Callithrix jacchus: one gene and its partners. The protein of the gene in region 3 purifies or fractionates together with the protein of the main gene of each other region. This does not show direct contact. Links are inferred from orthologs where the notes say so. Each region holds a gene or a part of one and is shown on either strand. Other genes may lie near its edges. The genes, in order: CORO1C, CHURC1 and ACTR2.

The links.
Region 1: the proteins of ACTR2 (region 3) and CORO1C fractionate together in Homo sapiens (co-fractionation; 3 studies listed by BioGRID and IntAct, with this or other methods). This does not show direct contact. The link is inferred for Callithrix jacchus from reciprocal best matches to the Homo sapiens genes ACTR2 and CORO1C.
Region 2: the proteins of ACTR2 (region 3) and CHURC1 purify together in Homo sapiens (affinity purification with mass spectrometry; 4 studies listed by BioGRID and IntAct, with this or other methods). This does not show direct contact. The link is inferred for Callithrix jacchus from reciprocal best matches to the Homo sapiens genes ACTR2 and CHURC1.

Annotation. Positions count from the first base shown.
Region 1 is NC_133510.1:111,538,249-111,548,377, forward strand, and holds the end of CORO1C (coronin-1C), read right to left. Parts: intron 8,625-10,129; coding exon 8,479-8,624; intron 5,596-8,478; coding exon 5,538-5,595; intron 5,426-5,537; coding exon 5,180-5,425; intron 4,087-5,179; coding exon 3,967-4,086; 3' UTR 1,670-3,966; downstream 1-1,669. UniProt on the Homo sapiens protein: Plays a role in directed cell migration by regulating the activation and subcellular location of RAC1. Increases the presence of activated RAC1 at the leading edge of migrating cells.
Region 2 is NC_133509.1:99,577,226-99,588,298, forward strand, and holds the start of CHURC1 (protein Churchill), read left to right. Parts: upstream 1-5,793; 5' UTR 5,794-5,831; coding exon 5,832-5,870; intron 5,871-11,073. UniProt on the Homo sapiens protein: Transcriptional activator that mediates FGF signaling during neural development. Plays a role in the regulation of cell movement.
Region 3 is NC_133515.1:48,686,021-48,697,246, reverse strand, and holds the start of ACTR2 (actin-related protein 2), read left to right. Parts: upstream 1-3,964; 5' UTR 3,965-4,082; coding exon 4,083-4,130; intron 4,131-11,226. UniProt on the Homo sapiens protein: ATP-binding component of the Arp2/3 complex, a multiprotein complex that mediates actin polymerization upon stimulation by nucleation-promoting factor (NPF).

The DNA of each region.
Region 1 (10,129 bases), on a different chromosome or scaffold from region 3:
GCAGAGTGACTCCATGGGATAGAGAGCTGGTGAGAACTTCTTTATAAGCACAGTTTTACTTTTTCTGCTGACATCAGCAACACAGTTCACTGTGGGGCACTTGGGATACACAGATAAAAGTTGGTAGTGGCTTCCAGCACCAGGAATAATATACTTTCATGCTTCAACCTAGGTAGGTATCTTTTTTTAAACCCAAGTTGGAATTGACTCTGTTGTACTATTTTTTTTAAATGTTTCCTATTCAATACTCTTTTTACATGACTTTAAATAACTAAACAGTGTTATAACATATGAATGTGACAGGGAACTTAACTGATCCTCTTCTGCACAGGTGATTTTTACTCTACTAATTCCTGAATATACCTCCCACTAGTAATTCCCAGAGGTGAGAACCTTTAAGAAAACATTTAAGACTTTTGACACACTTGCCAGAATGCCCTCTGGAAAGGCTGTTCACCCTGCACACACACCCCTTCTCACAGGAAAGGACTGCCACCCCTACATTCTTTGGCAAGGGACTTCTTTTTTAACAAACAAAAGAGCACAAAGGGCACTGTCCAGCCTGGACATCAAGGGTTGCCCGTCTGAAGCAGGAAAGGTATACGCTTCGCAATGACTCACATCCATGACTCAGTGCCAACATTAGAATACTTAATGTGCCAGCAGAAAGAGAAGGAGTCACTTAGAGTTAACAGATTCTTAAGAGCCAACAAAGAGTTTTTCTGGATGCAGAATACCAAGTACAACAAGGGAAGTGACCTTAAAAAAAAAATGGAAGTTCCCCCCAGACGAGGTCTGGCTTGCTGTCTGAGGCAGGCATGCTGACCTTCAGGTCTACTGGCAAAGAATCGAGGTGGCCGGAGTGAGAAAACAAGTCAGTCATAAACAGACCACCACGTGCCTCCTGGCTGACCATTGGCACCTCGGGTCTATAGAGAGCCCTGCCAACTTCTACTTCCTGCAGCCACATTGGACCAAGAACATGGCTGCCATTCTTCTCACAGACTAAAGCAACTTTAAGGCATTTGAGGAAGGGGAGCTTCATGCTGACTATTCATCATATTCACAAACATTCAGAAAAAGCAAACAGTGAGAAATTCTTTGCTACAATCACTGAAATGTCACAAAACAATGTCATAGTGCAAAAGGGAAGCCCTGCAATTCAACTGACCCTGGAAGCCTGCTGGAATAAAAGTCACAGCTGAGCCAAGAGAATTTTGCTTCTACTAAAGAAAAGGTGTTTTCAAAGGCCCTGTCAGGAAATCAACTCCCAGCCTACTAGTAACAGTGGCGGCCATGCAGCGAGGGCTATTTGTGTGGCCAGACAGGTATTCCTTTCACCAGAACTATATTGAATTACCATCCTCCTTTCAAGAAAAGGGACTCAAAAGGTTTAGGAACTCCACTCCAGAATATACCACTGGCAACGGTCTGAGGCAGGATCCAAATGCCCAAGTCTGTTGGAAGCCAGAACACAGGGCTTGACTGGCTTGGAGACCTCACCTGGTCTCCCTTGTGCTTTGGCAGAGCCGCCCACATGCACTTCCCCAGCCCTTACCCCAGAGAGGACTATGCCACCGTGCTCGTCCAGCAGTCAGAGAAGCTGTGTCAGGCAGAGAGGTGGGGGCTGCCTCACAGACAGCCAAGGTGTGAAATAAACACAAACACATTTTGTAATCAATGATTTTTATCTCTGAAAATGGAAGCAAGTGTTTTGACAGAACATTGGCCACTCTATAAGAGCCGACCTAGGAATAATTCACTGTCCTCTTCTGGGATGTTGTGGCTATAAAAAAAAAAAAAAAAAAAGACAAAACAGGAAAACAATCCACCACAATGTTTAGGGTGCCTACTCTGAGCCTGTCTGGGCATTCATTCATTAAATAAGTCGTAAGCTACAAACTAAGATCAGGGGCACTCTCCCTCGCCCTCCCCTTCTCTTGGAACCACATACCCTACGGTGTTTCACTATCAACAACAACTTTGTTTACTTCATTAATTCAGTATCGGAACTTTCAAACATTTCTGAATCTCAGACACAAAGGTCCTCGGCAGATTCTGATGATAAGGAAACAAATACAGGTTTGAATATAAGTCAATGTCATGATTGTTTTCTTTACATTTCATGATCCACTTCAATATGAAACACACAAATACACACACACACGAAACCACATCAAACATTCAGACGCCCTGAAATTGTGGAGACAGCATTCCCAATATTGGCTGGATAAGAACATGGTACCTTTTCTACACGAACATTACTCCAAGTTCAGCCATCACCACACTCTGCCCTCACCCTGGCTCCCTGTATACAGACGTTTCCTGCCAGGCCCATGTCCACACCAGCACAAGCATGTGAAAGAGTTCCCTTTGTGGTCCCAATGGCACTACACATTTCACGTTCAATCACAGACCACCCTTCCAAAACACAGGCCCCTTAAATCTTGTTTCCCAAGCATGCAATATGAGAAATTGGAAATGGGGCAAAGCTCTAGCTACCCAAGGAATGAATAAGCGACCAGAGCTCAGTCTCTGACCCCACTCCGAGTCCGGGGAGGCTCTGTGCTTTGACATAGCCTTAGTGTGAGATGGAGAGGCAGAGCAGGTTAGTTGTGCAGAGGGACACGTTTGTTCACACTAAAGCTACAGCAGAGGTCTGCGTTCCTGTTTCTGCTTCACTCTCGATCATTCTCCTCAGTCTCAATATTCAATTCCATCGCACCTCTGGCCTCGTCTTAGCTTAATGTGGTTAGAGCTAAACGGCAGGAAGGAAAGAAGGAATGGCTGGGGGAGCCCTGAGAGGTTACAGCACATGTGAGGAAGAGGGTAGAGCAGGAGCTTTGTTGGTGGAAGGAGAGCCACTTCCTCTTCCAGTACAGCATGAGGAGAGCATGGGGACAGCACGGGGAAACAGGATCACCCAGCACAAATACTCCCCTCCACATGCCCTCATTTTTAGTCCCCACCACTGCACTCAAGAGCTGGGCAAGTTGCTGAAAAGGGCAAGAAGGAACACTCAGCTATACACAGGTCTTCCTGTCCCAGGCACCCTTGTCAAGTATTGACCAAAACCTGAAACATGATGTTTAAAGTGATGAATGCAGTAGGTCCTAGGTGTGTAACAAACTGCAGAAACACATGCTAGTTTGGGTTAGATTATAATCATCTGAAGCACAGGATAACGAAGAAGCAAAATTCCATTCTGGTACAAACACTCAATTTCTAGAAAAGAGAAAGGAAAGGAAGAAATACGATAAGAGCTTTTTTGATCAGAAGACTCCATGAAATGAGAAGGGTGGTACTATGAATCCACGTGATTTTTCAAGTCTTCCTGTTGTACAGTCATCAAGACCTTTGTGCTACGAAGGAGTCAGCACCATGTGGCTACTGCTCTGATTGTTCTCAGATGAATGTTTATACAAAATAATATCTTATCTTCATTTAGTTTATAAACATACATGGTGCTGTCCCTTTCAAATTAAGGGAAAAAAACCACACAAATACTGCAAAGTAGCAAAATACAAAGGAAAACAAAGCTACTTTTGGTTTTGGCAACATTAAAAAAGAAAGAAATATAAAAAGCAATGTGGCATTGGTCCCTATATATTAAAAAAAAGTGGGGGTAATTGGGCACGACACAATCAGAATTAGTTTGTTTTCTAAAATTCAGAATGTCTGGGATTTTAAAAGTAGCACTTTTTTTGAAAGTTCAGCAAGTCACATAACACTTAAAACATCAAAAAAGCTTTCTGATAAAAAGGTCAGCTTTTAAATCACGTTTTGTTAATTCAGGAGACAAATTGAGTTCTTACTGGAATGTGGCCTATCGCTGGTTGACAAATCTGAAATGGAATGTCTCCAAATGGCAGTGCCTCCCTTCCGCCCTCCCTAGGACCACACCAACAACCAGCTCCCAAGCACAAGTTCTTGCTCCCATTTTTTGTAGGGGTGGGGGTGGGAACTTCAGGCTGCTATCTTCGCCATCTGCTGTTCTAACTTGGAAATACGCTCATCTTGATTGCAGATTGTGTCTTTTATAGATTTGATCTCTTTTAAAATCTCATCCAACTTGGCTTCATTTTGCTAAGAAAACAAACAAAAAAAGGAGGTAGTGACTAAAATGCAGTAAACAAAGTTCAACACAGTTCAAAACTTGTAAGACATAAAATGTAATTTTCTGTTTTGCAAACGGCAAGTCACAGTCACCAAGCTAAAAAGAAAAGTCAAAGCCCTACTGCACCTGGGGCTTTGAACGCAATGAGCACTGGCAAATCCATCTGAAACCCCGTAGCAAAACAACAGTGTGTCACAGTGCCACTTCTGATCCTGAGGCCTGTGCATTTACTTAAAGGGTCTCCTGGGTCACAATTAGACTACAGGACAAAACACAATTAGACTATAGCTCCTTCAAGGCTGCCCTACATCCTAACCACCCCAATCATTCCATCAAGAGTAACTTCTATCTGACCAGAGCAAGCAGAGATTCTCCCAGAAGCTACAGAGCTCCTGCCATCTGTGAGAGAGGCTCCTTCTTAGGAGTGAGACCCTTGCCCTGTGTGCCCACTCCCCCTCTCTTCCATAGGACCTGCTCTCCTGGCAATAGCAGCACTCTCCAGTGGCCACAGTGAGTTAAGAGCAGGCTCAATTCCCATTGCCCCACCCAAACAGCTCTTGCCTAAATCCCCCTTGTTTCCATCATCCCCACACAGCCAGATCCTTCTGTCATAGCCACTCAGCTATATCTGAACACTTGGCACTCCCTCCTTCCAGGGACCTCCTCTCCCTGGTGCCTACGAACCCATGCTCCCATGATATTTTATTTCTACCCAAAACAGGAAAGGATTAAACTAGTTTTGCAAAAGACAGGAAAAACCCAAGAGGTTCCTGTTCACACTCAGAAGTGGTAGGAGACTAACACCTATCCCAGTCATGATGGTTTGTGGCCACACTTGGCTCCTTTAATGGGGCTAAAGGAGTTTTAACTCCATTAGAGGAGGCAAGTGTGGCCACAAACGACCACCATCACATGACCTACAACCTTCTCCCACTTTTTCATTTACTGAAAACCCCTGTGCACCCAGCTGAGACAGTCCTCGCCAATGCCCTGGACCATAAGCACTTTACAGAAGATAAAGCCTGAACCAGCCAAGCACCCCCGCACTCTAGGGGCCCTCACCACACTGGCGGTGTCTGTGGTTTTCTTGGGGACGCTGATCAGGTCGCACTTCTTGTTTGCAGTGGGCTTGCTATCCAAAATGTTCTTCTTTACCACCTTGAGATCCCTGTTTTTGCCTGGAATGTACCCATGCTTCAAGGAGATGAGGATTGGGTCTGCATTCTTGCCCTCGAACCACTCTTCTGCCTCCAGCGCAGCTTCTGGCCCCGCTGTGTCAGGATACAGGTCATCTTGGAAAAGGTCAGACTACAAGAGACATTTGGCACCCACGGGTCAGGAATAAGAATGGCCTGGAATTTTTGAATTTTATTTTTACATATGTTTAAAACATGGATTGTTTAGAAAACTAGGCACTCACCTTCCTGGGAACAGTCATGATGATAGGTTCACACTTTCTCTCATGAAGTTTGAAGAATCTTCAGAGGGGAAATAAAGGCAAAGTTGTATTAAGTGAAATATGAGGCTGAGTAACAGGATTAATAATGACTTTTCTACAAAGCTGTCTGAAATGTCAAGTGTTTCTTCACCCATCCCCACATCTGATCCACCCTGGGAAGAGGCAAAACTTAGTGTTCTGGGTTGACAGATGAGAGAACGAAAGCCGAGAGTCAGAATGCTAGGAAATGGCAGACTGGAGACAAGAACCATGAGTAGAGGTCTAGGTATTATGATGGCAAATGCCAATTATCTGGGGGGCAGATAAACTGTGATGGAATAATAGCAACCCTGAAACTGACTCACTTGTGAAAAAATTACCATGTCAACATACAGGAGAGAACAAGACAATTTTCTTTTTCAGTCAAGATGAGAAACAATAAAAAATTCTCTCTAAAGCTCCTGGCAAGAGAGGTAGTCTTAGTGAGTATTCTGGCCAGATCACCAGATCAAATGGTTCTGTGCAAGGGGGGAGTTAAGGGTAGGTGTAAATGTTACTGGGGAAATGTTTTCTGAATTTTAAGAGTTTAAGTCAGAGAAGACACTGACACATCAAATATGCAAAACAAGTGAAACTCATTTCTCCTGCAAAACCTGCAGCCTTTGGCATTTGAAACTGGGCAGGAGTCCAGTGAAGACAGCCTGGCAGATACATTGCTCTAACACCCAGGGGAACAAAAGCTGAGAAGAGCTCAGGGTGGTGGTAAAGGTGTTTGTAAAATCATCATCCTCTTAAAAGAAGGTTGTATCAAATGTGCCTGTTTACTATTTCAACCAAAAACCAAAGGCCCCAGATAAACCAAAAACTTTTTTTTTTTTTTAAAGACAGGATCTTGCTCTATTACCCAGGCTGGAGTGCAGTGGCACAAGCTCACTGAGGCCTTGACCTCCTGCGCTCAAGCAAATCCTCCCACCTCAGCCTCTGCAATAACTGGGACCACAGGTACAGACTACCATGCCTTGCTAACTTCTTAATGTTTTGTAGAGACAAGTCTCACTAGATTGCCCATATTGCTCTTGAACTCCCAGGCTCAAGGGATCCTCCCACCCTGGCCTCCCAAAATGTTGGGATTAGAGGGTAAGTCACCACTCCTGGCCCAAAAACATTTTTAAAGACTGATTTAATGAAAATTCTGCAGTTAGTACAATGATTAAAAATCCTGACCTGGCTTTGACTTCCATCTCTACTACTAAAACCCGTGAGAGTATGACTACCTTACCAAGCTGCAAGTTCTTCATCCATAAAATGGAGATAAAAGTAGCATCTACCACATAGGATTGTTATGAGAAGTGAAAAAGGTAGCATGTAGCATATCTAGCACAGTACCTGGCATATAATAAATGCTCAAGAAACACTTCAGAAACAGGAGACATTCTGAACAACTGTGTTTAGTCTGTTGAACTTTTAGATGACAACAAATGTGTTTCGAAATACTGGATGTAATCATCAGTTCAAAGTCAGCCTACTTTGAACCACATTTTGATTAGTTTGGTTTAAACCATTTTCAATTACCTTTAACAGCCTTCCTTCATTATTCCATCTATTAGGGAAAAAAATCCAACAGAGAGTTTGGGTTTTTTGTTTGTTTTCTGAGATAGAGTCTCACTTTGTCGCCCAAGCTGAAGTGCAGTGGTGTGATCTTGGCTCACTGCAACCTCCACCTCTCGGGTTCAAGTGATTCTACTGCCTCAGCCTCCCGAGTAGCTGGTACAGGCACACGCCACCACGCCCAGCTGATTTCTGTATTTTTAGTAGAGATTAATGTAAAAAAAGAACTTACATAAAAATTCTTTTACTTGTATTTTGAAAGTTATAAGTATCAATTCTTTAACTGTGAGACTAGAACAGCAAGGTTTTTAAAAGTCCATATAAACACAGTGTTACAGAAATGTGTGGTATGACCTTACCTGTGATGATGTAGTGCTAATTACTCTGCTGTTTGAAGTGACCAGTGGTCACTGAGTCTCAAAGGGTATCTTTGTTGACTAGCATGAGAAAAAAGCCTATCCCTTAGGAAGCCCACTGACATCATAGAATATAAATTTTTTAAAACTCAGAAGTAGTACAGAGAGGAAGAAATTGTATCAAAGCTGAATTTCCTAAATCAAGCTACCACCCCATTATAGGATCTTTGCTTTCTCTAGTTTAGGACCAGTGGGGCACCAAATACAGTTTTGACCCCAGTTCTTCCACTCATAGAGTAAGAAAACCACCCCCTTTTCCATCCCCAAGCCAGGCTCTCCCCTACTTGCCCACCAGAGAACACTGACCATGGCCTCAGCTTGAAGATTAAAGATGCATGTTTCACTATTTCAGTAGCTGTGCAATACACCCCAGTATTCCACGTAATTGTTACACTTCAGTTGTATAGGCAGGAAACAAAGTATTAATTCCATAGTACACACAAGGATAGAAAGACTTGGGCTTCATAGAATTTCTTGTAGCTGTATTGCTCTGGTACCATCGGGCAATCAGATGATGATAAAAAGTGAGATTTGCTTGGTGTGGTGGTGGGTGCCTATAATCTCAGCTACTTGGAAGGCTAAGGCAGGAAAATCGCTTGAACCAGGGAGGTGGAGGTTGCAGTGAGCTGAGATCACACACTGCACTCCTGCTTGGGCAACAGAGTGAGACTCCGCCTCAAAAAAAAAAAAAAAAAAAGTGAGACTTTTTCATAATGAAGAAATTTGGTTTTAGTGAGTATCCTCAGAAAGTGCCATCTCATGGCAATGAGTGTAAGTCTACTAATTTCTTACTTAGAATAGTAAGATATTTTTGAGATCCGAAGTATATGCTAGTCTGAGTACAAATAATTGTCACACAGTTACACCAACCTAGAATAATGACAATCTCTATTTTTTACCTGGCAATCTCACATTTGTTCACATCAAGTCCCCTCTTGGGCATGTAACCCATCCCTCTCTGAGGCTCCTTGCTGCTGAATGTGTTGAGGTAGTGGACATACGGGGACTCATCCGTTATCTCAAAATAGCGAATACTGCTGTCGCCCTGTAAGAAATCAGAGACAAGTTTGTGTCTGATTGTTACTGAAACATCTGGATTATGTGGGTATCTCTATAAACCCAGCATTAGTTGGGACCCTACTTCAGTGGCTAACCTTTGTTTCTTCATAAAGAGGCTTGCATATGATAAAATTGATAAAGCATATGACAGTTTCTTTTCTTCATAAAGTAACCCCTCACTTATCAAATGCTAGCATGCCTTTTAAGTGGTCTCCTCAGCCTCCTACCAAAGGCTCTAATTTTACTCCACTGAGCCTAGGTACCAGGCCAGAGTTAGAGCAAAAATGTTAATGCCTCTGCTAAACAGCTACATTGCAATTCGACTTCAAAAAACAAACAAACAAACAAACAAAGACTAAGAGAATTGCCAAGAATGCAATTCTTGATTTAAGTATTCATTCACTGGCATAGCGCAATGCTGTTCACAGACCTAAGGGCACCAATATCAGGCATTCAGATGATGACAAAAAATGAGATTTTTCTAATGAAGAAACTCAGTTTTAGTGAGTATCCTCAGAAATGCCATCTCATTGCCATGTGTACAATTCCACTACTTTCTTGCTTAGAATGGTCAGATGTTTTTGAGTGCTGAAGCATATGTTAGTCTAAGTACAAATAATTGTCACACAGTTACACCAACCTGAACAATGAAGGCAATCTTGTCTGGCAGAGAGGAGATATACATATATGCAAGAAAGAAGAAGACAAAAATAGCTAGGTGGTATCATGCCTCAACAGTGCTCCCAGTTCTCAGATTTCCATTTGTCTCAATGATTGAGATATCTAAAGCAATGGAAAAGAAGCTAAACCCTTGCTAGTCATTTTCTGCATACCCAAAAGAATTTTCCATCTTGTGCTACTAATATCTGAGTAACTGATCATTTTGTGCGTTTTACTTCAGTCAAGGGCAACAACGGCAAGGTTAATGTGCTTAACACCTGTTAACATCTGCAGTAAAATGGCTTCCAAGGAAACAGACAAGATCACCGTTTCTAAGAAACTGACCTATTATAAAAACGTAAAGCAGGTCTGCAGCATGCTCAATCAGCTATGAAAAGCAAACATCACCAGCTTTACCACCCAGTGAAGGGCTATCTAACAGGTCTAGGGAGTATATCAACAGCTCTATTGCTATTAATTTGTTTATTTCAACCACAAAAAGTTCTAAGGGAAATTGAGCCTATAAAAATATTAGGAATTATAATGCTCCCACCTACAAAAATGAAATAATAAAGCTACCCACAGCCTAGGCATGCTGGGCTCATAAGGCAGGGGGAAGGTTTTTGGAGTTCAGTGAGGAGTCTCCCTATAATTGCTATCACCCCTGAGCTTTAGTCAGGACTCATATCTTCAAGCCCAGGGTCCTAGCTCTGAACCCCAGGAACAAGAACCCTCCAGAGAGCCTTTGAGGCCCTCAAAAGTTTGCATCCACAAAGCACCATTCTCTTAACAAGTCCATGGTGTGTGGTACTAAGTATACACGTGCTCATC
Region 2 (11,073 bases), on a different chromosome or scaffold from region 3:
CACAGTAAAATATCAAAACCCAATTACATTTTGATTATTAAATTCCTTCTGGCTAGTTGTGGTGGCTCATGCCTATAATCCAAGCACTGTGGGAGGCTGAGGGAGGAGGATTGCTTGAGCCCAAGAGTTCGAGACTAGCTTGGGCAACACAGTGAGACCCATCTCTATATACATACATACATAAAATATTTTTAAAAATCCACTCCAATCCATGTAAGATTTGAAAGATAATATTCCCCCAGAAGCTAAAATTAAAGAAATTTTGACATATGTCATGAAAACTTTGTATGGAAATGATCATCTATATTTGAAAAAAAGTGAGGAGAGTAAACAAACAAACAAAAAAACAGAATCAGAGGGAAATAATGGCTATTCCCTTGCTTTTAAATGTCGTATGTTTGAAAAAATGGACATGTTATTTGTAAATTGATGTTTAGTAACTAGTAACAAACTTGAAATACTAGAATAGCCTGTAAGCCTTTATCCTAGCTAGACTTAAGCAAATGAATTTCTTTTAACTCATCTTTCGAACCTATATCCACACTAGTTTTAAAGATATTTTAAGTTATATTTTTTTCTCTTTGTTTTTCAGAGCTACTTCTTATTTGGGGGCTACTTTTAAAAATTGAGGTATAATTCACAAGGGGCTGCCTTTTTTTTTTATAAGACTTCTTATAACTATTGCTGAATGTTTTGTTCTAATCTTCTAAGCAGGGCCATTTTATTTTTTGGAGTCACTTCTAAATTCATGTGGTCATTAACTTTGTAGACTATTTTGGATATGAGTGCTGATACAAATTAAAACCCAAGTAGACCTCATTGTATGTCACTGCATGAATGTTGGCAAACAACATAAGGAATACCTTGCTCATAGTACAGTGACTTCTGGACTGAAAAGCTGAGGAAGAAACTCAATTTTCTTTTTTGCATACATCAGAAAAACAACTACTATGTCCAGTTCCCTGACTGACCTCAGAAGATGAAGTGAACACATAGTGTTAGTTCAGATTGAAGAAATTATCTGAATCTTGGTGTGTGTGGATTTATAATCTACATGTAATATTACCTAAATTAGATATTTACAGTTTCATATGTGTGCATAGGCTCCTTCACACCTATTTCCATATTTATTAGTTATTGAACTTTCTAAACTAGAATTGAAGCATTACAACAATTTTTTTGCACCAATTTTATAAACTTAAAATAGCATGCAGTGCAATGCATGTTATTTTTCTGAGGCAAACCAAAGGTAATTTTCTCAAGGTTTTTGCAGCATTTGATGGGGGATCTTTTATACATTTGTAATAGACAAAAAATAAACCAGACTGAAAATCATTTTTAAAGTCTAAAACCATGAACCAAGTTTTTTATTCAAATTGCACAGGATAAGTTTAAACTTAAATTGCATTTAATTAACCAATATGAATGTACTTCTGTAAGCATAGTTATGTTGAAATAAAGTTTTAAAAAGCAATAAATAAATAAATGTATTTGAAAGCCTGGAGTTTATTATCTGAATGGGGAAGTAGCCTGAAGTTGGGCGGGAGAACCCTAAAAGTAAGAAAGTCTAACTCTGCCACTGAGCTAAGATAAAAACCTGCTGACCCTGAACTTCTAGGACTGCTTTTGGACCTGTCCTCAGCCAGGCTCACAGTACTCACTGTGTTAACCCAGAATTACTGCTAATTCATTCATATCTGGCAGGTGACATCAGGTGAAGATAACCACAGCCTCTTATTTCACACTTTGCCTGACACAATGGAAAGAATGACCTATACCTTCACCAAGCAGATGAGCTTCTGCTTGGAGATGAGCATCCTCTCCTCCATCTGTGAAACTGGCCTGAGGATGTTACCATAAAGGCTGGGGCACTTTTTCATTCCTTTCAACAAAAGATGAAAAGAATAGATAGGATCAGCATTGTATCCTTTTAGTCTCTTGGCATTATAAGGCAGAAGAAAAAACAGAAGGTGTTGAAAGGAGATTCAAACTGCACTCTTTAGGGAAATCCCTCATCTTGCCCCAGGGATGTAGTTTAGCACATGTAATTGAGCCAGCAGTTAGGGCCATTTTAACATTTAGATTTTCTTTAATCAATTTCTTTAACAAGAGATGATCTCATACATGAACTGCAACATTGTATGTTTGATATACATCATGGACATCACCTATTTATTAAAGACACATAAAAGCAGGGTATTGTCCCAGAGAAAATTCTGTTAGAATATAAAACTGATTCTGCAAACTTTATTTTATATAGTTACCTATAAGAGAAAAGGAAATAGATTTTTTTTTTTTACTGTTTTTCTTATGTTACACCACTACTTGTTCATTTCATTCAGGTGCTAATCTCCTTCTGCTTTGTAGCCTCTATTTTCCTTTCTTCCATCTGTCAGCCTCAGATAATTTTGTATTCCCATTACCACAATCACACTTTAATTTCTGGTCCTGTCTACCTCCTCCCCCGAGTCTCATTTCCTGCCTCTCTTCTCTGAATGTGGCTAGATTTAAATGGAGGACTTCACTGGACAGATAGCCCTGAGCTCTTGAGCTTTTGTGACCATGAATATGATGATCATTTTTTTTATCTTGCTCATTTTAATAACAAGTTATGATATAACTCTGGGAAGGTAAAAAAATTTTATAAACATGTAGATTGTCTTTCGTGCCTTAGATTGTGAAATCAATTCATACTAATGGGTATACTCTTTAAGATCTATGACTGTAGTGTAATTTTTAATTAATTAATTTTTGTCGTGTACATGCTCAGTGTTGAGGCAGAAAGCTATACATCTCCCCCTTGTGGTTCCTGTTAGCGTCTGCCTTTCGCATGTCCATTTTTTTTTACACTTCCATTAAGTCCCAATAAACTACAGCTAAAATAATCTTCTTGTTTATTTATTTATTTATTTAGGGACAAGATCTCGCTCTGTTGTCCAGGCAGGGGTGCAGTGGCATGATCATAGCTCATTACAGCCTCAAACTCCTAGGCTCAAGAGATCTTCCTGCCTCAGCCTCTTGAGTAGCTAGGACTGCAGGTGCACACCACCACACTAGGTTAATTTTTAAATTTTTTGTAAAGACAGAGTCTCACTATGTTGCCCAAGCCGGTCTTGAACTCCTGGCTTCAAGCTATCCTCCTGCCTTGGCCTCCCAAAGTGCTGGGATGACAGGTGTGAGCCTTCATCATTTTAAACCTAAAATAATTTTAAACCACAACTCTGGCAACACTCTCCTGCTCAAACCTTCTGTGGCTCTCTACCACATGCAGAATACAATCCAAACTCCTTGGCATGGTCCACCTGAAATTTCTATACCAAACAAAAGAAAACTCTGCTTTTTGAAATCCTATACATGCTTTAAGGCCCAAATTCCTCTTTCCTAATCCTCTACGTGGGTGAAGTCTCACCATTTTGTGTTCTTATACCCCAATCTGCCAGTAATTATTGGTACTCATGCTCATTTTATCTCTCAGACTAAACTGTGAGTATCTGGGGAATAGGAAAGGATTAAAAGTCAGTATTAGGCTTTAAAAACAGAGAAAGCATTTAAAAATGGATGAAGGGAATTGAGCCAGGGGCCGAGGCTCATGCCTGTAATCCCAGCACTTTGAGAGGCAGAGGCAGGTGGATCACTTGAGACCAGGAGATTGAGACCAGCCTGGCCAACATGGTGAAACCCCATCTCTACTAAAAATACAAAAAATTAGCTGGCTGTGGTTGTGTGCTCCTGTAGTCCCAGCCACTTGGGAGGCTGAGGCATGAGAATCATTTGAACCCAGGAAGCAGAGGTTGCAGTGAGCCGAGATCATGCCACTGCACTCCAGCCTGGGTGACAGAGTGAGACTTCCTTAAAAAAGAAAAATAAAGGCCGGGTGCGGTGGCTCAAGCCTGTAATCCCAGCACTTTGGGAGGCCGAGGCGGGCAGATCACCAGATCAAGAGATCGAAACCATCCTGGCCAACATGATGAAACCCTGTCTCTAAAAATACAAAAATTAGCTAGGTGTGGTGGCGTCCGCCAGTAGTCCCAGCTACTTGGGAGGCTGAGGCAGGAGAATTGCTTGAACTGGGGAGGTGGAGGTTGCAGTGAGCCGAGATTGTGCCACTGCACTCCAGCCTGGCGCCTGGCAACAGAACAAGACTCTGTCTCAAAAAAAAAAAAGAAAAGAAAAGAAAATGAATAGACTAGCCTTGTCCAATAGGAATATGAAAGGTACATGTATAATTTTTAATTTTCTAGTAGCCACATTAAAAAAAGAACCAGGTGAAATTAATTTAATAATACATTTATTTAACCCAGTATGTCAAAAATTATTTCAACATAACCATATACATTTATTAAGATTTTTACATATTTTAATACTAAATCTTCCAAATCTAGCATGCAGAATGTACATACAGCACAATCTCAGTTCAAACTTGCCGTATTTAAAGTGCTTTAGAGCCATAAGTGGCTAGCGCTACTGTATTAGATAGAAATTGAGCCAAGGACAGCAACAGAGTCCTAGCTCTGGCCGACTACTACAAAGTAGCTTTCTTACTGTAGACAAGTCCTTTAACCACTCACTTCTGTGGTTTCCTCATATGAAAAGAGAAGACATATTTTTCCTACCAATCACATAGGGTCGAAATAGCATAAAATTACAAACTGAAATGAGGACACTTTTGAAAGGCTGAAAGTGTCATACAAATGGGAGGCATTATAATTATTCCAATAATAAACTCTGATGGCTCTATATCATGCAGTGTTTCTTAGCACACCTACGATTTTTAATAACAGTTGCAGATACTTACTAAAAGTTGAAATACTAAAGGTTACAATTTCAATGCTTTCGTGGAAAAATAATTCCCATAGTAACAACCCCAATTAAACTGGTGTGCTTTGAAATGGTTATTAATCTCTTTTTTAAGGCATCTGGATCCCAGAGTCTCCCCTGCTTCCTAATCTTTCTTCACTGACATGACAGCAATAAAGCAGGGCTGAGGGAAGATGCTGATTTCCCATTGGAGTAAGGGGGTGTGATGAAGACACATTGTTCTGATGCAATTAGATAGTTGCCAATAATAAGATGCTTTCAATACATAGAGAAAGAAAGAGGCGGGGCGCCAATCAAAAGGATTTTGAGATCCGCAGGATTGGGAAACGATGCAGGGAAAACTCACCTGGTCATTTTTCTATTTACATAGTGCTTGCCCGCCACTGAGGTGCATCTGTGACACCTGAGAGAGACAGAAATACGTTACTCATTGCTATGTCCCCCAGAGGTCTCTGGAACGGCTAATTATTACTAATATTTTAAGTGTTCGTTTTAGGAGATTTTCTGCAGCGCTCCAAGTGTCTCTTCCCACACTTCAGTTACTGTTTATCCACCTGCTGAGATCTGGTCTCTTATTCACTTTCATTGCCTTAAGAAATGGTACAGAAAGGTATTTATTAACATTTCAGATTTGTATATAGGGTAGCGAGAAATAATTCCCTCTCGTGTGTTGTGATTTGCCTTTCTTGTCAGCTTAAGCTCAGGAAGGCGTCTGTGAGAACTTCGCTCAGCCCAAAATCCGCTTTCCCTTCCCCCCACATCTGTCAGTGCATAAGGTTTCTTCCCCTTTCTTCAAAGGTTTCTGGATCCCCACCCTTTGCAGACACACGGTGCCAAGGAGACTGTGCCCGGCCCTGACAACAGTTGCTAAGGGGCGGAGATTTCGGATCGGTTCCCGAGACGGAAGACCTAGGAGTCGAGTACTTGGGCGCATGCGGTAACCGTATCTCAGCTCTCGCGAGGTTTCGTCTTCCCGGAAGCATTGGAGGACGTTTCCTGTTGACTGCGTCGCGATGTGTGGAGACTGTGTGGAGAAGGAATATCCCAACCGGGTGAGCGACTGGGCTCTCTTTTGGCCGGCGGCAGGCCCCCGAGGTGTCTCACACCCCAGGCTGGCCTTCCCAGAGAGGCCGTACGTGGGGCGGACTCGCCCACACTGCCGGTCCCGTTGACCCGGTAGCGGTATTTAGGTTCACCGGGGATGGCCTGTGGCGGTCAGCACCTCTGGTCTCCGCCCTGGCGGCTGACCTCAGCTGTCGTGCCGGTTCGCTTGAGCTCCAGGGAGGAGCAGAGGAACCCCACCGCCATCACAACCCCGGTCGACAACCGAAAGACTCCCCCACCCCCACTTCCGGTCTCATTCTCAAGCTCGATTTGATGAAGTTCAGTTTTCTTACAGAATTCTAGCGCTGCAGGGGACCTCAGAGGTCATCTGTTCTAACACTTTTGCAGATGAAGAAACCGACGTCCAGAGAGGGAAAATCACTTTCCCAAGTTCACGTTGTAGTTGCATGGATGAGAGCCAGGACTAGAATTCAGATTTCCTGGCTGTTACTGCCTTTTAAATCTCAGTTACTTTAAGGCTCAGGAGGTTGCAAAGCTTGTCTCTTCTCATTCATTCAGGGTATCTTTGTTGAACATTTATATATGTGTAGCTAGATTGCTTTAGGCCAGAAAGGGATTCTTTATTTCTCCTCTCTTTTTTGGAGACAGGTTCCCAGTGTTGCCCAGGCTGGTCTCAAATTCCTGGGATCAAGCGATCCTCCTGCCTTGGCCTCCCAAAGTGCTGAAATTACAGGCGTGAGCCACCGCGTCCGGCTGGATCTTTTATTTCAAATTAGAAATAAAAAGGCAGCTTTGGTGCTGCTTAAGAGCTCACCGTTTTGGGGAGTATGCGACTAACAAAAAATGAGTAGATCGGTTCAGAAATGCTATTCAAGTTTAGGGAAAGGGGAGGGCAATAGGAGATAGTGTTGTTCTCCCCTGCGAAAAGGTGGACATCCTCTAAGACTTGAAGGACAGTTGTAATTAGGGTAGAAAACAAGGTAAGGAGGAGCTGGAGGATGGGGGGAAATTACAGGAATGGAATTGGTGCATTGGATGGGAGGGAGAAAATCTCTATAGTTGCTTAAGCCTTAGTATCTTATGGGTAATACTTAGGCTTTTGAGAAGCATATATAACAGTATATTTTCTCATACAATACAACCACTTTGGAAAAACGGGTGAGCCTTATACAGAAATGACCCAGCGATTCCCATTCTAGAAAAATGAATGTGTATATGCTTCTGAAGACTTTTATAAGAGTGTTCATAACAGCATTATTTTTATGGTGGTAGATTGGAAAAATAACTGTGATATATTCATAGAGTGGAACACATGAATGAATGAGTAACGGAAGTGAATGAAGTAGTTCAGTAGTCCTCTACCAGGAGTGATTTTTGCCTCCTAGGAGACATTTGGCAATATCCGGAGACATTTTTTGGTTGTGGGAAAGCACTACTGACTTCTAATGGATGGTGCAGGGGATGCCACTAAACATCCTGCAATACATGGGACAGCCACCACAACAAAGTATCACTCCCAATGTCAATAGTGCAAGGTTGAGAAACCCTGAATTATAACAATGAAATTACAATTACACAGCAGTAATTTCAATTACTGCTAAGGGATTAGGGTGTGATCAAGAAGGGTCAAATGAGAAAAAGTCTTGTGGGGTGCAAGCAGTGTTTTATTTCTTGATTTGGGTGATGGTTCTGTAGATGTTCTCTTTATAATTATTATGCTCTACATTTATGTTTCATGTACTTTACTGTGTTCTATTTCATTTTTTTAAGTTTAAAAAGATTTTTACAAAGCCAGTAATAAACATGGGATAGTACAAGACCATGAGGGAGAAGTTAGCAGTAGAGAATATTAAAGAGATTAGGTTGGATTCTTAAGAGTGGAGTTATTGTAAAACTTAAAAGTTATATTGAGAAGCTTAGAGTTTACATTTTATGCATTGGACAACCATCAAAATTTTAATAGAGAAATGATTCTGAAGTCTGTTATTTAGGAAAATGAATCTTATGGCTGATGGTAGGATGGAGGGTGTGTTAAGAGAGAACTCCACAGAACATTTGAGGAGCTATGGCAACAGTGTAAGCATGAGATAATGAAGACCTTATTTCGAAGAAAGAATTAGGCCGGGCACAGTGCTCACACCTGGAATCCCAGCACTTCGGGAGGCTAAGGCGGGTGGATCGCTTGAGCCCAGGAGTTTTGAGACCAGTCTAGGAAACATGGTAAAACGCTGTCTCTACAAAAAATACAAATAGGCCGGGCGCGGTGGCTCACGCCTGTAATCCCAACACTTTGGGAGGCTGAGGTGGGTGGGTCACCTCAGTTCCAGAGTTTGAGACCAATTTGGCCAACATGGTGAAACCCCATCTCTACTAAAAATACAAAAATTAGCTGGGTGTGGTGGCTCACTCCTGTAATCCCAGCTACTTGCAAGACTGAGGCAGAAGAATCATTTGAACTCAGGAAGTGGAGGTTGCAGTGAACCGAGATCATGTCACTGCACTCTAGCCTGGGCAACAAGAGGGAAACATTGTCTCAAAAAAAAAAAACAAAAAACAAATTAGCCAGGCATGGTGGCATGCACCTACAGTCCCAGCTACTCGGAGGCTAAGGTGGGAGGATCACTTGAGCCCAGGAGGAAGAGGTTGTAGTGTGCCATGATTGTGCCACTGTACTCGCTCCGGGGCAACAGAGCGAGACCCTGTCTCAAAAAAGAAAAAAAGAATAAGATTCAATCAGTTTAATGCAGAAGAGAATAAGGGGAGAGCTATATGTGATCACATGATCTCAGTTTTCTATCTAGGCAGCTGGGAAATTGGAAGTATCATTACAGAAATTGGAGGCATATGGGAAGATAAAACAAAAATTCAGGCCAAATGGTCAAATTGTTATTAATATGCTTCACCTGAGATTGAGAATATCTGAAGGGTCAAGTGAAGATATAAGATTGCAGTTTGGATACAACTACATAGATAAATGAGTCAGTTAAATACACGTGTCAAAATAGGATTTGTTCGCTGAGATTGAGAATATCTGAAGGGTCAAGTGAAGATATAAGATTGCAGTTTGGGTACAACTACATAGATAAATGAGTCAGTTAAATACAAATGTCAAAATAGGATTTGTTCGCTGAGGAAAAAAATGTAGTGAATCAGGGACTGAGCTCCAAAGACTAAATTATCTTCAGATATGAAAATAAAGTATAAGGAAGAATAGTAGAAAAAAAGGATTGAGGTGATTGGAAAACCAGGAGAGTACCTTTCAAAGGCACTTTTCTCTTTTTTTATTCTGTTCTAAAATAATTAAAAGACTGTCATGAAGAAGAATTAAACTTTTCTTTGGAATTTTAGAAGGCAGATTTAGAAATAATTACGGGGTGGATGTTATGGGTCTTAGACTTTGAATCAGAATAAAGAACTTTCTGACATTTCAAAATGGAATGAGTAACTCTTAGAGGAATTAAACTGTCTTTCGATTGTTCAGTAGAGACTTAACTGACCATTTAGAATGTCAAGGACCCTTCCAACTCAGGGGTTCTTTGAAGTCATGACCTATTTTTAAATTCAGTAAGAGCAGAAGCCACTGCTTTTGCTAAGCTTTGCAGAAGCTTAGCAAAGAAGGGCAATAAGAAGATTGTGGGCTGGGCCTGGTGGCTCACACCTATAATCCTCACACTTTGGGAAACCAAGGCACAAGGATGGCTTGAGCCTAGGAATTTGAGACCAGCCTGGGCAACATAGTGAGATCCTATCCTTACTAAAAATGAAAATTAAAAAAACATAAGCCCAGCGTGGTGGTGTGTTCCTGTAGTTCCACCTACTCGGGAAGAGGATAAGGTGGGAGGATTTCCTGAACCCAGGAGTTCGAAGCTCCAGTAAGCTAAGATCACGCCACTGTGCTCCAGCCTGGGCGACAGAGCAAAACCCAATCTACTTACAAAAACAAATTCATTTGTTGGGAAGCTCTAAATATAGAATGAGTAAGTATTAGTTAATTATTTATCTTTGATTACATAAAGTTTGGAATTTTGTGATTTATTTTTACAGACTAGAAATATACAGTACTGAATTCCTAATGGGGCTCTGGCATACTTGCTTGTAACGTTAACACTGAGAATTTGAACTCAGACATGAGTCAAGTTGGAAATGAATCACACTAATTTTCTGAACCCAAATTTTTTTACTCAACTGTGAACCACGTTTTTTTTCCTTCAGAAAAGCATTAGCAAACCAGTCAGAACTAGAATTATGCATATTCTAAAATTACTGAACAGGCACAAAACTGTAATAAGGTATTTTTCATATCAAACTGGAAATGAAACATATTTCATATATTTTAATTTCAGCTTTAAATTTTGTTAGTAATGCAACAGCAATACAGAAATATATTATTAGATTAACAGTGGGAAAAAATCAGTGTTAGTGATATGTTTAAATTTACAATTACATGCTTTATATTTTTCATTTAAAGATAAGCCACCAAGCTTCATACACTCAAGTTGTTGCTTAGTAGATAACCTTAAACCAGATTTAATTAAATGAGTAATATATAATTAGTAAAACAGTTGTATGTAAGAATGCCTTAAAATGATACTCTACATCTTAAAACTTATAAGTGTCTATGTTTAAAAAGTATACTCTTCAATCAATTACCTAACCTTCCACTTAAGACAATGAAAAAACAGGCCGTGTGCGGTGGCTCACATCTGTAAACCCAGCACTTTGGGAGGCTGCAGCAAGCAGATCAGGAGTTTGAGACCAGCCTGGCCAACATGGTGAAACCCTGTCTCTACCAAACAATACAAAAATTAGCCTGGTGTGGTTTTGTGTGCCTGTAGTCCCAGCTACTTGGGAGGCTGAGGTGGGACAATCACTTTAACCCAGATGTGGAGGTTGCAGCACTCCAGCCTGGGCAGCAGAGTGAGACCATGTCTCAATAAAAAAAAAAAAAAAAAGGCAATGGAAAAACGAGCAAACTAAACCCAGAGCAAGTAGAAGGAAGGAAATAATAAGGATTAGACTAGAAAATACTGAGAGAATACAATAGAGAAAACAAAACCAAAAATTGGTTCTTTAATAAAAACTGTATTTTCTGTTTGTAAATATTCCCTGGCAAAATATATACATTCACTATTAACTTGTACCATCTGAAATAAATTGCTGGGAAAAAAATGATGCAGTCTTTATCAGAAT
Region 3 (11,226 bases):
CAAAGTAATAAAAGCTATTTACGACAAACCAACAGCCAATATCATACTGAATGGGCAAAAACTGGAAGCATTCCCTTTGAAATCCGGCACTAGACAAGGATGCCCTCTTTCACCACTCCTATTCAACATAGTACTGGAATTTCTAGCCAGAGCAATCAGGCAAGAAAAAGAAATAAAGGGTATTTAAATAGGAAAGGTGGAAGCCAAATTGTCTCTATTTGCAGATGACATGATAGTATACCTAGAAGACCCCATCGCCTCAGCCCAAAAACTCCTGAAACTGATAAGCAACTTCAGCAAAGTCTCAGGATATAAAATCAATGTGCAAAAATCACAAGCATTCGTCTACACCAATAACAGACTTAAAGAAAGCCAAATCAAGAACGAACTGCCATTCACAATTGCTACAAAAAGAATAAAATACCTAGGAATACAACTCACAAGGAACATAAGAGACCTCTTCAAGGAAAACTACAAACCACTGTCAACGAAATAAGAGAGGACACAAACAGATGGAGAAACATTCCATGTTCATGGTTAGGAAGAATTAATATCGTGAAAATGGCTATACTGCCCAAAGTAATTTACAGAATCAACGCTATCACCATCAAGCTACCATTGACGTTCTTCACAGAACTGGAAAAAAACACCATGAACTTCGTATGGAACCAAAAGAGAGCCCGCATAGCCAAGTCAATTCTAAGCAAAAAGAACACAGCGGGGGGCATCACACTACCGGATTTCAAACTATACTACAAGGTTACAGTAATCAAAACAGCATGGTACTGGTACCAAAACAGAGATATAGACCAATGGAACAAAACAGAGGCATCGGAGGCAACACAACATATCTACAACCATACAATCTTTGATAAACTTGACAAAAACAAGCAATGGGGAAAGGATTCCCTGTTTAACAAATGGTGTTGGGAAAACTGGCTAGCCATGTGCAGAAAGAAGAAACTGGACCCCTTCCTGACACCTTACACTAAAATTAACTCCAGATGAATTAAAGACTTAAACATAAGACCTGGCACCATAAAAACCCTAGAAGGAAATCTAGGCAAAACCAGCCAGGACATAGGAGTAGGCAAGGACTTCATGAACAAAACACCAAAAGCATTGGCAACAAAAGCCAAAATAGACAAATGGGACCTAATCAAACTCCACAGCTTCTGCACGGTAAAAGAAAGTCACTAGAGTGAATCGGCAACCAACAGAATGGGAACAAATTTTTGCAGTTTACCCATCTGACAAAGGGCTGATATCCAGAATTTACAAAGAACTAAAACAGATTTACAGGAAAAAAACAAACAAGCCCGTTCAAAAATGGGAAAAGGATATGAACAGACACTTTACAAAAGAAGACATATATGAGGCCAACAATCATATGAAAAAATGCTCATCATCACTGGTCATCAGAGAGATGCAAATCAAAACCACATTGAGATACCATCTCACGCCAGTTAGAATGGCGATCATTAAAAAATCTGGAGACAACAGATGCTGGAGAGGATGTGGAGAAAAAGGAACACTTTTACACTGCTGGTGGGAGTGTAAATTAGTTCAACCATTGTGGAAGACAGTGTGGCGATTCCTCAAGGCCTTAGAAATAGAAATTCCATTTGACCCAGCAATCCCATTACTGGGTATATATCCAAAGGACTATAAATCGTTCTACTATAAGGACACATGCACACGAATGTTCATTGCAGCACTGTCTACAATAGCAAAGACCTGGAATCAACCCAAATGCCCATTGATGATAGACAGGATTGGGAAAATGTGGCACATATACACCATGGAATATTATGCAGCAATCAGAAATGATGAGTTCGTGTCGTTTGTAGGGACATGGATGAATCTGGAGAACATCTTTCTCAGCAAACTGACACAAGAACAGAAAATGAAATACCGCATATTCTCACTCATAGGCGGGTGATGAAAAATGAGAACACATGGACACAGGGAGGGGAGTACTAAACACTGGGGTCTATTGGGGGGAAAAGGGGAGGGCCAGTGGGGGGGGGAGCTGGGGAGGGATAGCCTGGGGAGAAATGCCAAATGTGGGTAAAGGGGAGAAAGGAAGCAAAACACACTGCCATGTGTGTACCTATGCAACTGTCTTGTATGTTCTGCACATGTACCCCAAAACCTAAAATGTAATAAAAAACTTAATAAATAAAATAAAAATTAGCAATCCATTTAATTCCACAAAGAGGAAAAGTAAAAGAACACAGAAATGCTTGAGTTCAATTTGCTGAGACCAATAAAATGTACTTTCAAGAAAATTGCACAGCACTAGCACTAGAGCCACAAAAATAAGATGGATTTTATACTCAAGGAATTAATGAACAAACAAACTTTTCCGCAGACTGAGGTACTTCTCTCACTACTAAAGCAGATAAAGGGAAGAAATGTTCTCCTGAGACCTCCTACCTATTCTAACCTCTCAAATTTCCAACTGCAACAAATGGCAGCTTTATTTATCTATTTATATTTATCCATGTGTTTGGCGTTTCATATAAGATTAAATTTGAATAAAGCACTCTATGCTTTTATATAGGTTTGAAAATCACTAGTCTACTAAAAGAACAGTGAAAACTGAGAGGCAGCTATACTATAGAAAGAATACTGGATTGGGGGGTTCACGATTCATTTTATTCTATTGTTGAACATATACAGCCATGTTGAAGGCAAAGTTCTAGTTCTCAGCTCTCAAAAGGATGGCATTTTAAATGTGAATTTTAATGTCATTCATCCAATAAATATTTGTTGCATGTAATAAGCACAATAATGTTATTCATATGTTCATAGCAAAATAATAGCGAGGAAAGGGAGTAAGGAACATCCTGAGGATATCAGCTGTCATCAAAGATGTGACAAGCTGGGTCTCAGAGCACAAGTTTGCCAACCTATTTTTAAAAAGGAAAAAAATGTGGGTGAAGGGGAGAAGCAAAGCAAAGCACACTGCCATGTGCGTACCTACGCAACTGTCTTGCATGCTCTGCTCATGTACCCCAAAACCTAAAATCCAATAAAAAATAAAAATAAAAAAATTTAAAAAAAAAGGAAAAAAAATGAGGCATCGTAGATAGAATCATAGGTTCAAAAGAACAGAATTAGTAAGAAATAGCTACCACTGAATGAACATTTCTTCTATTCAGACTTATTCTCACCACATCCATGGAGATAGAAGTTATTCCCATGCACAGACAGGGGTATGCCAAAATTACAAAACTCGTGAGTGGCAGCACCACGTTTGAAACTGGAGTTGTCTGATTTCAAAGCCAAGGCTCTGGGTTCACAGCTGTACATGTACTGAAGAGGTGTGAAGAGACATGGGACTACTGGAAGAAGGAGGCAGTGAGCCAGAAGGCTGGAAATGCAGGCACCTGCTCTCTCTCACTTGACCATAGAGCAACTTGGGCAAAGGAGTGGGCTGAGATTGGAGTATGGAACAAATGCATGATTTCAAATAAGCGTGTGTGTATGCATCCCAGTTCTGTCCGCTGAAAAGGCCTAGAAGCAATGACACACCAAGCCCTGTTCAATGGTGGGGTCGGCCAGGACCTCCCAGGCTTGCTCCCGGTCCTTCCCGCCGGCTTCTCCGCCACATTCCATGCCACCGCAGAACCGGTGTCCTTCACCTGCCTGCGTCTTCTGCAGTTCGTTAAGCGGCGCCCTTAGTTTCTGTGACATTTCAGGGAGAAAGCCGCAGGACCCGCGACAACGTTGGCCGCCATTAACGCCCGGCGAAGCGCCGGGAACTAGAAGCAGAGAGGAAGAACCTGGGTAGGAAACGACCGTGACAGCCGAGCCGGAAGTGGAGCTGCGGGAGGCGCCTCGAAGCTTCTCCATTTTTTATTGGAGCTCACCGCTGCCAGTCGCGCTTCCCGCCCGTCCCACACGTTCCGCTCAGACATTCAGCTAAATGACGGGCGGAGCCGGGCGGCGACTTCCTGTTGGGGGAAAAAAGTTAGGCCGAAGGAGGGGCCGCGAAGAGAGAGGAAGAAAAGAAAACGGCCGGGCGGCGGCGGCTGTAGGTTGTGGGGCGGCAGCGGCTCTCACCTGGGCGGACGATGGACAGCCAGGGCAGGAAGGTGGTGGTGTGCGACAACGGCACCGGGGTAAGCGCCTGGCGAGGAGGCCTTGGCGGCCATAGGCGCAGGCGGGGACGTGCAGCGGGCGCGCGGGCCCTCGGCCCCCTGGGCTGCACCTCCAGGCCCTAGGGGCCAAGGGGCGCGGGGCGGTGCTTCCCACCTTCGCGGGCAGGAGGGCGAGTCGGCCGTGCCCTGGTCTCCCCTTAGCCTGCCGCCCCCGCAGCCTTCCGGGTCGAGGCGGCTGGCGAGACCAACACTGGACGCGGAGCCTACTGACCGCTAGGCAGGGACCGGCTCCGCGCTTGAGCGGGGCAATTGGGCTAAAGCGGACCGAGGGGTAAAAGACTAAAGCGGCCGAAGGGGTAAAAGGCTCGGTTTGTGTGTTTCGAGAAGTGCTCTTTTCCCCAGGGCCGCCGGTGTATGAAAAGAAGAAACACCTAGAGGCCTTCCTCTTCCTGTATAGTTGAAGATATACCAAACGAGAAGCAGGAAACGGGTTTACTTTAAAAAGAAAAAGAAAAAAAAAGGAAGTGCTGTCAAGGAGTGTGGGCCTCAGACCTTTCGCTGTGTTTGTTGTTTTTGTTTGTTTTTTTCGAGGGAAGGGGGTCCAGATCGGCTGCGCATCGTTCACTTTTTGTTCTACAAACTGGTGGTTTGGCCCTACAGGCCTGCGGACACCAGCATGTTCCATTGGATGATTTGGGGACCTAGGGCCCGGCAGTGTTAATTCCTCTGACCTTAGGGGAAGTTAATTAGCGTTGGTTACCCGCCCCCAGCTTCCCTTTCCCCCTTAGTCTCATAATAAAGGTAATATTAGACTTTAAGATTAAAAAAAGGTAAAATCTGACCAAAGCACTGATTTAGAAACTATTTGAAAGTTGTTTCTGTAATCCCAGCACTTTGTAGGCCGAGGCGGGCGGATCACGTAAGGTTAGGAGTTCAAGACTAGCCCGGCCAATGTGGTGAAAGCCCGTCTGTTCTAAAAATACAAAAATTAGCCGGGCGTGGTGGCGCATGCCAGTAATCCCAGCTGCTCAGGAGGCTGAGGCTGAGGCAGGAGAATCGCTTGAGGCTGGGAAGCAGAGGTTGCAGTGAGCTGAGATGCGCCAGTGCACTCCCAGCCTGGTCGACAGGAGTGAAACTCTGTCTCAATAAAACAAAAAAAGAAAGAAGGTTGTTTCGAACCTCTCTCGCCAGATTTTAAAAAAATTTGTTTCGGGTAGCAAAGTCAGCAAATTAGAAGATGGCAATATTACTTACTCTGGATGACTGATGTGATGATTTCTAACCATTTTAATGTTGCAACATTTTATGACTTTTCTCCCCTCCCATAAATATAATATATGAATTAAAATACATTTTACTTGAACAAAACATTTTGGAATCTGAATTGTTGAGGGGAAAAAAAGCTGGTATTTACTGCCGTAATAATGCCTTTGATTAGATTTGTTACAGAATTTTACAAGCAATAGTTATGCCAGCTTCATCTGAACTGTGTTAAAAATGGACTAGAATAAAAAGTGGTAACATAATGAGGCCAGGCACGGTGCCTCATGCCTGTAATCCCAGCACTTTGGGAGGCTGAGGAGGGCAGATCACGTTAGGTCAGGAGTTTGAGACCACCCTGGCCAACATAGTGAAACCGTGTCTCTACTAAAAATACAGAAATTAGCTGGACATGGTGTTGGGCACCTGTAATCCCAGCTACTCAGGAGGTTGAGGCAGGAGAATCGCTTGAACCTGGGAGGCGGAGGTTGCAGTGAGCCGAGATCATGCCACTCACTCCACCCTGGGAGACAGAGTGAGACTAAGTCTCAAAAAATAAAAAATTAAAAAATATATAATATATATAATGGGACAGTTATTCAAAATGTAATACTTTTTAAAAGATCCACTGCTATGGAAACATGGTTAAGATTTGTTAAGTTGAAAAAGATTTTAGAATGATTCAGTTTAAGTATGTGTTCTTTAGTAAAAATGTATGTCCACAAACCTGTATCTGCATATGAAAGTTTTCTCTATCATCTAGGCTGGAGTGCAGTGGCGCAATCTCGGCTCACTGCAAGCTCCTTCTCCCAGGCTGAAGCGATTCTCCTGCCTCAGCCTCCCTAGTAGCTGGGATTACAGGCCTGTGCCTCCACACTCAGTTAATGTTTCCATTTTTAGTAGAGACAGGGTCTGGCCTTGAACTCCTGACCTCAGGTAATCCATCCACCTTGGCCTTCCAAAGTTCTGGGATTACAGGTGTGAGCCACTATGCAGGCCTTAATGTTTTATTTTTGTAGAGACTGGGCCTCCCTATGTTACCCAGGCTGGTCTTGAACTCCTGGGCTCAAGAGATCTGCCCACCTCCGCCTAAAGTGCTAGGATTACATGCTTGAGCCACTGCACCCAGCTATCATAAGCTAATGTTACGTTACTAATCCGTTAGTAGTTTTTGTTTTGTTTTGTTTTTGAGATGGAGTCTTGATCTGTCACCAGGCTGGAGTGCAGTGGTACAATCTCAGTTCACTGCAACCTCCCATCTCCTGGGTTCAAGCGATTCCTCTGCCTCAGCCTTCTAAGTAGCTGGGACTACAGGTGCCTGCCACCATGCCCGGCTAATGTTTTGTATTTTAGTAGAGATGGGGTTTCACCATGGCCAGGATGGTCTAGATCTCCTGACCTTGGGATCTACCTGCCTTGACCTCCCACAGGCTTGAAAGACCGTGCCTGGCCTCTGTTAGTTTAGCTAACATTAGAAAGCTGATTTTAGGCCAGGCGCGGTGACTTATGCCTGTAATACCAGCACTTTGGGAGGCCGAGGTGTGAAGATCACTTGATGGCCAGGAGTTCGAGACCAGCCTGGCCAACATGGTGAAACCCCGTGTCTACTAAAAATACAAAAATTAGCCAGGCATGGTGGCGGATGCCTGGAATCTCAGCTACTTGGGAGGCTGAGGCAGGAGAATTGCTTGAACCTGGGAGGCAGAGGTTGCCGTGAGCCGAGATTACGCCACTGCACCCCAGCGTGGGTGACAGAGTGAGACTCCATCGCAAAAAAAAGAAAGCTGGTTGTAATATTATTGATTAGTCTTATGTTGAATCCATATTTTTAAGATCCTTTTTCTAATACAAATGATCAGTTGCTGTGATATAAATGAAAAAAGTGAGTGTAGTTAATTCAAATAAAAATTTGTTGTTATGTTTCTAGTTATTTTTAAATTTTATCCAGATTTTCTATGGGCATGATTGGTTTCAACCGAAGAAACAGTGGTGATAAAATATGTGAATCATATAACAGGAATGCTGTGATAGTTCTGAGTATGTAGTATGTAGAGAACTAGGAATCAATTAGATTGTATATTTCTTACCACTTGTAGACATAGTCATCTTGATTGTATTTAGGTACCTGAAGTTATAATGATTCCTTTATAATTAAATGTTCAAGAAGATATTCAGATGTAATTTTTGAAGAAGTTATGGAAATAGTTGTTACCCTAAAGTTTTCTCTTTTGTTCCTTACACACCTTAGGTTTTAAAATGGTAGGCTGGCTGGGTGCGGTTCCTCATGCCTGTAATTCCAGCATTTTGGGAAGCTGAGATGAGAGGATTTCTTGAGGCCAAGAGTTTGAGATCAGCCTGGGTTAATATAACAAGACCCCATATCTAGTAAAAAATAAAATAAAAATAAAATTATAGGCTTTTTGAAACGTTGATTTTTTTTTTTTTTTTTTTTAAACCTCTCTGGCAGACCCATATTGAATATTCTAGGACAGGAGTGTCCAATCTTTTGGCGTCCCTGGGCCATGTTAGAAGAAGAATAATTATCTTGGGCCACATAACATACACTAACACTAATGATAGCTAATGAACTAAAAAAATGGCCCAAAAAAATTTACAATGTTTTAAGAAAGTTTGTGAATTTGTGTTGGGCCTCATGTAGCTCATGGGCCATGGGTTGGACAGGCTTGCCTGGGAACAAGTTTGTTCTTACAATAACGTGCCTGATGTTGGTCCTGCTCAATTTTCTATCTCCCAGCTTGACCAGTGTCTCCTTAGGGTTGCCCAGAGGAGGAAAACTCATCTGATCCAATAATTTATGTGGATTTTAACCATTCAAACCTCCTTCTGGAGTCAGCTGGTCCAGATAGGTGAAAATCAAGAGGTCTGTGAAACTCTAGGTTTGGGTCTCCTTCAAGAGCTGGGCCCAGGCCCCTGGTGTTGTTTATCTTGGAGATAAGACTTGGGAGATTTCATCAGCAGTGAGTTAGATCACCAACAAAATGAAGGTTTCCCCAGTGCTTGCTATGTTGCTAGTACAGTGCTTAATAAGGTCTAGTCATACAGAGAAGGTTATAGTACCAGAATAATTGGATTTGCATTTATATAATTGACATTTGTAGTTGATTGTGGCCTGCTTTATCAGGCTTTGCTAGTTTATATGTTTAATTTAGTAGTGTTTGAAACAGAAACAAATCAAAACCAAATATGGTTTTACCGTGTAATATGCTTTGGGATAAGTAGAATAAATATTTTGGTGGCCTAAGATAAGAATAGTCACTGTGCAGTTTAATTACTAAATACATCAATATCATCAGATAAAATTAGTAAGGGGAAAATAAAAATTAAATTAGGTCCAAATGGGGCTTTAGAAATTCCAGGTTATTTTTTTGAAGAGAAAAAAATGTACTTTTAGAGCAGATGTAGATGAAATTTTTCATTTGTGCCTGACAGAACATTATACTGTTCTTACCATTTGATGACTCAGTGGGAAGTAAGGGAACTAGTTTAAACCACACTGCTATGAAGAGGAAACTATATATGGTAAAAGCTATTTCTTAAACACAGCCTTTAGGCACACAATGAAAGAACAAAGTCACTAAGTTTTAAAATGATTGACATGGAGGAGGAATTTGAGGGATTAAGATGATATCAATGATAGTTTAGAAAATAATGTTTTCTTTGTACTTTATCATATCATGTTTAGATTTTTTTTTTTTTTTAAGATGGTGTCTCCCTCTGTCACCCGGGCTAGAGTGCAGTGGTGGGATCTTGGCTCACTGTAGCCTCCAGCTCCTGGGTTCAAGCTCTTCTCCTGCCTCAGCCTCCTGAGTAGCTGAGATCACAGGTGCACACCACCACACCTGGCTATTTTTTGTATTTTTGGTAGAGATTGGGCTTTACCATGCTGGCCAGGCTGGTCTTTAACTCCTGATCTCAGGTGATCCACCTACCTCGGCCTCCCAAAATGCTGGGATTACAGATGTGAGCCACTGCACCTGGCCTAGATTTTTAAAAAAAATACTTATTATTTTTTGCAGAAGTAATCAGATTGTCATTTTCATATTATTGAAAAATTAGGGCCAGGCACAGTGGCTGATGCCTATAATCCCAGAACTTTGGGAGGTAAGGGTGGGAAGATTGCTTGAGGCTGGGAATTCAAGACCAGGCTGAGTAACCTGTCTTGGGAGACTGATGTGGGGGTATCACCTGAGCCTGGGGAGGTTGGGCCTAGGTTGTGAGACCCCTGTCTCTACAAAAAATAATATAATTTTAGAATTATAATTTTTATTTTTGCTGCTCCTTGCAGAGCAGTATTACCCCAGTGGCAGAGTGCCCAGAGTAGCCAGTATAATTAAAAAAGAAAAAAATTAATTTTATTATTATTATTTTTGAGATAGTGTCTCTCTCTATCACCCAGGCTGGAGTGCATTCATGGAATCTCACCTCACTGCAACCTCTGTCTCCCAGGTTCAAGCAATTTTCCTGCCTCAGCCTCCTGAGTAGCTGGGATTACAGGCATGCACCACCACGCCCAGCCAATTTTGTAGTTTTAGTAGAGATGGAGTTTCACCATATTGGCCAGGCTGCTCTCAAACTCCTGACCTCAAATGATACACCTGACTTGGCCTCTCAAAGCCCCAGGCCCAGCCTTTTTTTTTTTTTTAAAAGACAGGGTCTCACTCTCTCACTCAGAGTGAGTAGAACAAACATGGCTCAACGCATACTCAACCTTCCTGGGCTCAGATGATACTCCCACATCAGCCTTTGAGGTTTCTGGGACTATGGGTATGTATCACCATGCCTGGCTAATTTTTGTATTTTTTTGTAGAAATTGGGTTTTGCTTTGTAGCCCCAGGCTGGTCTCAAACTCCTAGGCCCAAGCAGTCCACCCACTTTGGCTTCCTAAAGTGCCAGGATTACAGGTGTGAGTCACCATTCCCAGCCAATTATTTTAGTTCTGTTATTATAACTGTTAATGCTTTCATATTTGAAGTAATGTGAAATAGTGCGATTTTTGCTATTTTGATGGGTTAATATATACCCTGTAGGAAAGCTCGTGCTGAATTCTGTTACAGCATCTGCTTCCAGTAAGCTACTGCTCAAGCAGAATAAATATTTTTTTTAATAAGTGACTGATAACCTTTAAATAAAAAGCCAATTTTTTTTTCTTTTTATGAAGAAGTAATAGTAGGTTTACATTTGTTTTTATAGTTTCAGGAATTTTAGTTTTTGTCTTCTAACTTGGGAAATGTTTTGTTGCTTAAAATATACTCACAAGAATCTTAAGACATGAACTACCCATCTGAACTATTATAATCGGAAAACTGTGAGTGATGTGATTATTTGCCACTTTGCCCTGTTGTGTGCCCAAGTGTGTGTGGCTCTGAAGGAGAGGGTAGACATGTCAACCTTAGCAGCCTCTTCCCTGCACTAGGATTTGACCTATGCCCCATCCTAGGCTCTTCCTGCCACCTCCAGCTTCTCTTATGATTTCTCACGTAGTAAACTTATTTATTTACATTTAGCATGCTAAAAGTGACCCTTACAAACTAGTAGATTCTCTTTTCATACATTCACTCTATATATTTTTTGAGATCATTTATACCCATATAAGTGAGCATTTTCATCCTAATAAATGGATCCTTTTGACTATATCTGTTTATTACTTTGAGGTAAGCATAATAATTTAATATTAAATAGTATTTAATTCCTATATTTGAGATATTTGTGTAAATTATGACTGACATTAGGTTGGTGATGATGACAAATGTTATACAGAACTGTGGATATGGTTGGGATAACAAGAACACATTCTTTACTCTTCCATTTCATTTCAGTTTCTATCAGGTAAACCGGA